Saccharomyces cerevisiae S288C: one gene and its partner. The protein of the gene in region 2 purifies or fractionates together with the protein of the main gene of each other region. This does not show direct contact. Each region holds a gene or a part of one and is shown on either strand. Other genes may lie near its edges.

What was found.
Region 1: the proteins of PFS2 (region 2) and GLC7 purify together in Saccharomyces cerevisiae (affinity purification with mass spectrometry; 5 studies listed by BioGRID). This does not show direct contact.

Annotation. Positions count from the first base shown.
Region 1 is NC_001137.3:430,793-434,793, reverse strand, and holds GLC7 (type 1 serine/threonine-protein phosphatase catalytic subunit GLC7), read right to left. Parts: upstream 2,300-4,001; coding exon 2,123-2,299; intron 1,598-2,122; coding exon 836-1,597; downstream 1-835.
Region 2 is NC_001146.8:38,870-42,701, reverse strand, and holds PFS2 (cleavage polyadenylation factor subunit PFS2), read right to left. Parts: upstream 2,084-3,832; coding exon 686-2,083; downstream 1-685. Other genes in the region: prephenate dehydratase PHA2, read left to right, coding at 1-631; HXT14 (Hxt14p), read left to right, coding at 2,373-3,832. UniProt on the Saccharomyces cerevisiae protein: Integral and essential component of the cleavage and polyadenylation factor (CPF) complex, which plays a key role in polyadenylation-dependent pre-mRNA 3'-end formation and cooperates with cleavage factors including the CFIA complex and NAB4/CFIB.

The DNA of each region.
Region 1 (4,001 bases), on a different chromosome or scaffold from region 2:
GCTTCCACCACTTAGTATGATTCATATTTTATATAATATATAAGATAAGTAACATTCCGTGAATTAATCTGATAAACTGTTTTGACAACTGGTTACTTCCCTAAGACTGTTTATATTAGGATTGTCAAGACACTCCGGTATTACTCGAGCCCGTAATACAACAGTTCTCCATTGAAAAGTCGCCATCTTAGTATAGTGGTTAGTACACATCGTTGTGGCCGATGAAACCCTGGTTCGATTCTAGGAGATGGCATTTTCTTTTTTACCTGTCTTATTTTAGACAGGTTGACGTGATTGACTAAATGATTTGGCCAACTTGTTTATAAAAGGGTTCAAAGCCAAAGGAAGACGTGACCATTCTTAACAGTGCAACGAAAGACAGCCTCAATATAGAGTTAGACAAAATAATAATATAGTAATTTAACATAGTTTAATATAAAAATAAGTAAAAAAATAATAATACTAATAATAATAGTAATGATAATAGTAATAAAAGAAAATAAAGAAAAATTGCATTTCGTTAATAATAATAGTGTAGACTTATCATTTTTCCACTAATTCAAATCCTTCACATCTTATTATTATCTCCTTTTTTTTATATTTTTTTTATGTTTCTTATGCTTTTTCGCGGTTTGTTGCACTAAAGGGAATTATTTGTGTATATGACGAGTGATGATTGCATCTTCCTTTGTTTTCTTGATGTTTCTTTCGTATTCTTCGCTTAAAGAATTGACTAAAAGTTTTCTACGTTTATGTTTCTTGTATTTTTCTTCTACTACTCTTCTTGTTAATAAGTATTTTCCTTTTTAAACTTTGATTTAGGACGTGAATCTATTTATTTTTTCTTTCTACCCCCAGCTTGCCTTGGTAGACTTTTTTGGGCTGGCTTTAAAATTTGAAAAGAACATAATAAACTTTCATCAACACTCATCATTGCACCAGCGTTATCAAATTCACCACAATAATTCGGAGCACTGAAAAGTGTCACCAATTGTCTTTTACTAAAGAATTCATAACCATCTTCCACAACTTGATGGGCCCTGCAAATCAACTCCATATCTTGTTTCTGTAAAAATCTGTTCACTACATCAGGACCAAAAGTGAAAGAAACACCTCTATCATTTTCACTCCAACCTACGATATCTTTATCTGGATCTGACCACAATAAGTCACATAATAAGCCAACGTCGGGAATATCTGTTGGCCTCATCACCCTTCTGATCTGTTCCATACTATTCAAATCTGGTGAGAGACCACCATGCATACAGAAGATTTTCTCATCAATAATTGCAGCAATTGGTAAACAATTGAAACAATCCGTGAAAGTTTTCCAAAGTTTGATATTATAACGTCTCTTACATTCATCATAAAACCCGTAAATTCTATTAATGGAAGCACATTCATGGTTCCCTCTTAAAATGAAAAAGTTTTCTGGATACTTAATTTTGTAAGCCAGTAATAGACAAATAGTCTCTAAGGATTGTTTACCACGGTCGACATAATCACCCAAAAATAGATAATTAGATTCTGGCGGGAATCCACCGTACTCAAATAGACGTAGTAAATCATAGTATTGCCCATGAATGTCACCACATATCTAAAAAAAAAAAAAATAGAAAAAAATAAGTTAGTAAATGAATTTGTCACTAAATCTAGCTCATTCCGTTGACTTTAAGAGAACAATTACTGCTGTCAAAAACGCTTCATTTCTCCCAATGCCTTCTGCAAATCCACATTTCTTGGTTTTCGTCCGACCTTTCTCTCGGGCTCAAAAAAAAAAAAGATTCGTTTTCTTCATAACGAAAAAATGCCTTCTTTTTTTAGTGTGAGCAAGGGGGATTTTTCTGAATATGGGAGGCGCCGGCCGGATGATGATACAAAACATAAGGAAATCTTGGTAAAAAAATGCCTAATAAGATAGAAAAATGAAGAGCTAAACACACACATTATCTCGGCTATCTCGACATATGAGTAGGCTAACATCAGATGCTTGGTAAATTCTTTCAGTCAAACGGAAATAACTGCTGTAACTATCTTACTGCCGCAACAGGAGTAGAACACATAAAACACCTGAAGCTCTAGGCATTCTATCTCTTGACTGCGAAGTTCAACATTAACATACTTTAATTGGGGCTTCTAACTCTAGTAAAATGGGTTGCTTTATGAATATAGATCTGGCTTTCGAACATAAGTATCTGATTTCATTTTCTTCTAGATCAACTTGTTGACCAGGTTTAGATCCTCTTACTTCCAATAATCTATCGATGATATTATCAACGTCAACTGGTTGTGAGTCCATTTCTTTAATTTGAATGTATATTGTGGTAATCTGCTTTCCTCTCCCCAGTTACTCGTTCGTTCACCTCTTATTTTTTTTTTCAGTTGTGGTGTTAACTTGTGTTACGTTGTTTTTTTCTTCTTCTTTTCTACTTTTGATTTTTTTTTCCCTCTCTTGTTCCTTGAAACGAACGCTAAAAGAAAAAACAGCAAGAGCAAGAAAAAAAATGGGGGAAGAGCGAATAAGCAATGATTGTTATCTACATAAGGGGTAATTTGGCTAGTTTCTAACTGTCATCCCCATGCAGCCTGTCAAAGACTGATATATGCAGTCAAGAAATAAAAAACAAATTGCAATAAGCTCTCCACTATAGATGGCACAAAAACAGGTTAATAACAAGTAGTTATTACATTCCTCAACGAGATGAGCCAACAAGCAACCAATAGTGCACCTACTTGTCTAACTTTAATTGAGGTTGTGCTCACAAGAAATGTTTTGCCAGGTATCTACCTCAATTGAATAACAACCGCAAAAGCTTTAGTACTAAATTGTCTCTCACCTTGTCTTCAAGAAAAGGGGAAGGTAGATGAGAGAGAAGTCTTGCAATTTTTCTCAACCTTTCAACTCGAATGGAAATCAGGTTGTAAGGGAAGCAATGAAATGTCAGCAAACAGCCACTGACTGTAATTCTTTTGTTGGAGTAAAAATCAACTATCATCTACTAACTAGTATTTACGTTACTAGTATATTATCATATACGGTGTTAGAAGATGACGCAAATGATGAGAAATAGTCATCTAAATTAGTGGAAGCTGAAACGCAAGGATTGATAATGTAATAGGATCAATGAATATTAACATATAAAATGATGATAATAATATTTATAGAATTGTGTAGAATTGCAGATTCCCTTTTATGGATTCCTAAATCCTCGAGGAGAACTTCTAGTACTTTCTACATACCTAATATTATTGCCTTATTAAAAATGGAATCCCAACAATTATCTCAAAATTCACCCACTCTTCATCTTTGAAAAGATAATGTATGATTATGCTTTCACTCATATTTATACAGAAACTTGATGTTTTCTTTCGAGTATATACAAGGTGATTACATGTACGTTTGAAGTACAACTCTAGATTTTGTAGTGCCCTCTTGGGCTAGCGGTAAAGGTGCGCATTTTTTCACACCCTACAATGTTCTGTTCAAAAGATTTTGGTCAAACGCTGTAGAAGTGAAAGTTGGTGCGCATGTTTCGGCGTTCGAAACTTCTCCGCAGTGAAAGATAAATGATCTACTATGATGAATGACATTAGCGTGAACAATCTCTGATACAAAATCGAAAGATTTTAGGATTAGAAAAACTTATGTTGCCTTCCTTCTGAAATTTATTTTTTGTCACTATTGTTATGTAAAATGCCACCTCTGACAGTATGGAACGCAAACTTCTGTCTAGTGGATAACAGAATTTTTCTATGGCCAATTTATTCTTTTTTTTTTCCCTTTTCTTAATGTGCGTATCATTGCCGGGTTTGAAATTTCGAAATTAACTACTAAAAATTACCGCTTTAATGTATGGAATATGTGTATCTTGCTAGTTTTGCGTTGCCCTCGCGATATCCCTATACGCCCACAGTGCAAACACAGTAGAGCTTTGTGATAATACTCGCAAGGAATACAGTACATCAAAAACTTATTACACAGGCTTTCCAGTGCACTCACA
Region 2 (3,832 bases):
CCTTGGAAATTTTGAAGAAGTCATAATACACTCACATCCGCAAGTATGGGGCCAGGTTGAATGTTACTTAAGGTCCATGGCAGAAAAATTTCCGCAGGTCACCTTTATAAGATTGGATTGTTCTTCCACATCTGAATCAGTGAACCAATGCATTCGGTCATCAACGGCCGATTGCGACAACATTCTGCATTTAGCCATTGCTAGTGAAACAGCTGCCCAATTGCATAAGGCGTACATCATTGAACATTCGATAAATGATAAGCTAGGAAATACAACAAGATTTTTAGTATTGAAGAGAAGGGAGAACGCAGGCGACAATGAAGTAGAAGACACTGGATTACTACGGGTTAACCTACTCACCTTTACTACTCGTCAAGATGACCCTGGTTCTTTGGTAGATGTTTTGAACATACTAAAAATCCATTCACTCAACATGTGTTCTATAAACTCTAGACCATTCCATTTGGACGAACATGATAGAAACTGGCGATATTTATTTTTCATTGAATATTACACCGAGAAGAATACCCCAAAGAATAAAGAAAAATTCTATGAAGATATCAGCGACAAAAGTAAACAGTGGTGCCTGTGGGGTACATTCCCCAGAAATGAGAGATATTATCACAAATAATATGTTATATAGTCTTTTTATTTATGTATCCTAAAATCTCGTCAAAGCGCACTTTTATATGCTTAAACCTGGCAATGTGGAACTCTTGATGTTTGAATCGATGCCTGGGATTTCTTGACGCGGTTTCTTGTTGATGAATCCATTCATGTTTGGTAACGCATGTGGTTCAAGTGTAGCTGGTGGTGGCGGGGCCGCACCGAATTCACTCTTCTCTCTCACAGCATTGATGTCGTTATTGATGCCAAAAAACCATCCATTTATCTTCTTATTGTTATAAGTTGGATCATCATATGCATTAGGATCAATTGGCCTCGCTCTAGTCCAAAATCTTATGGTTCTATCCTTAGCTGCTGTGGCAAATATATGTCCTACTGGATTATATGATAACGAGGTGATACACTTATCATGGGCGTATGGAATAGTCAAAATAGGTTCGTTTAGATTTTGTAAAAGATCAAAATGCTTTAGCGAGCCGTCATAGCACGCCAGAGTGAACATAGATTCATTTATTGGGTGCCATTCTAGTGTCATATAATCCGTTTCATCTCTTACACACATTAGTTCCTTCATACTGTATCTAATGTCGAACACACGACACGATTTATCTTTTGAAATCGCCATTAATAGATTTCCCTTGGTGGGTTGAAATCGCGTCTTCAAGACAGTATGTTTGAACTTCAGAATTGATGATATGCAGTTTCCGGAACGCGGATCCCACAGTTTTACTAAATTGTCCTTAGATGCGGAGGCAATTAACCCCATCTCGGGATGCCAATCACAACTTTTCACGTCCCAGTGGTGCCCCGATAATACTCTTTCTTGTTTGCCATTGCTGAAGTTCCAAATCTTCAAGATATTATCATCTGAACAGGTAACAAATTTCGAGTCGTTACTACTGAATGCCATATCCCTAATACTTTCCGTGTGTGCAGCATCAATTTCTTTAACCATACTAAAGTTTGGTTGCCATATCTTAATCATTCCATCTGCGTCCCCACTAATCATCCAATCACTGTCGTGAGAATATTTCATTGTAGTCACAGCCGAATCATGTGCTTGCATGAGGGTTTCAAACGTAAACGAAGATGCGTTCCATAGAGAAAATTCTCCGCTATAAGTTGCTACTACAAGTCTTCTGCCTTCTGGGGTCCATTGGATGGCGGGTATCACATGTTTCACTTTATTCGAGCTTAAATGCGTAAATTTGCTGGGCAAATTTATGACTCGATCTCGACCTCTGTAGGCATTAGGCGGCATTATATCTATTGTGTATGAAGTTTCTGGCTCTACCACTAGGTTCGGTAATCCATGTCGTCTGTTGTAATATAGGTTAATATACGGAGAACTCACGTCTACCGATCGTCTCTGTGTCACATATTTCTTCAGAGGTGGTTGTTGTGACTGCTGAATTTGATTCTGATTCTGGTACTGGTTCTGATTATGCCCGTCCATAACGTGTCTATGTTGAGCTTCTTAATATCTACCCAGCAACCTGTATATCAGTGCTTTCTTTAATTATACTTCCCTTGACAAATCGATACGTCGGCCCTCAAAAGAAGAGGAAAAAAAATAGAAAAAAAAATAGAAAATAAAAATGTCAGTAATTCTAATGATGACACAAATTCAAATAGCAACATTGAATACTGTTTAACAGAACAATTAACCACTTTTAATTAGAAATACTAACAAAGAATTTGTTAACGTATTCTTAGGAAGTAAAGTACTTCAATTATTGCTAGAAATGACTGCTCAGATTCCGTATCAACATAGCTCGGGATACATCTCTCATTTTCACAATAATGAGCTTGATGCAGGCAGGGGAAGGGATTATAATGTAACCATTAAGTATCTAGATGATAAAGAAGAAAATATAGAAGGCCAAGCAGCAAAGATTAGTCACAATGCGAGTCTGCATATTCCCGTTTTATTGTGCTTGGTAATCTCGCTTGGTGGCTTTATTTTTGGATGGGACATTGGAACCATCGGTGGAATGACAAATATGGTTAGCTTTCAAGAAAAATTTGGCACAACTAATATTATCCATGACGATGAAACAATTTTTGTATCTACTAAGAAACTTACTGATCTGCAAATAGGCCTAATTATCAGTATTTTTAACATCAGTTGTGGCGTAGGGGCTTTAACTCTGTCAAAAATCGGTGATTGGATTGGTAGGAAAGGTGGTATATGGTTTGCCTTAGTAGTGTACTGCATCGGTATAACCATTCAAATTCTCTCCTATGGAAGGTGGTATTTTTTGACATTGGGAAGAGCCGTAACGGGAATCGGTGTGGGAGTAACCACTGTCTTGGTGCCAATGTTTCTCTCCGAGAATTCTCCACTAAAAATCAGAGGCTCCATGGTATCTACGTATCAATTGATTGTAACATTTGGCATACTAATGGGAAACATTTTAAATTTCATATGCGAAAGATGTTATAAAGATCCTACACAAAATATAGCCTGGCAATTGCCATTGTTCTTGGGATACATTTGGGCAATTATAATTGGAATGTCACTTGTTTACGTTCCTGAATCTCCACAGTACTTGGCAAAAATCAAAAATGATGTGCCCTCTGCTAAATACTCTTTTGCGAGGATGAATGGCATCCCTGCGACGGATAGCATGGTAATTGAATTCATCGATGATTTGCTGGAAAATAACTATAATAATGAGGAAACTAACAACGAATCAAAAAAGCAAAGCTTAGTTAAAAGAAACACATTTGAATTTATTATGGGAAAGCCAAAGTTATGGTTGAGACTGATTATTGGTATGATGATAATGGCATTTCAACAGCTGTCCGGAATAAATTATTTCTTTTATTACGGAACGTCTGTTTTCAAAGGTGTCGGGATTAAGGATCCTTATATTACTTCAATCATACTGTCAAGTGTTAACTTCCTTTCTACGATATTAGGCATATATTACGTGGAGAAATGGGGCCACAAGACATGTTTATTATATGGTTCAACAAATTTATTATTTTATATGATGACATATGCTACTGTGGGGACATTTGGAAGAGAAACGGACTTCTCAAATATTGTTTTAATTATCGTGACTTGTTGTTTTATTTTTTGGTTTGCAATAACATTGGGCCCAGTTACATTTGTACTAGTGTCCGAATTGTTCCCTCTAAGAACGAGGGCCATATCAATGGCTATTTGCACATTTATCAATTGGATGTTCAATTTCTT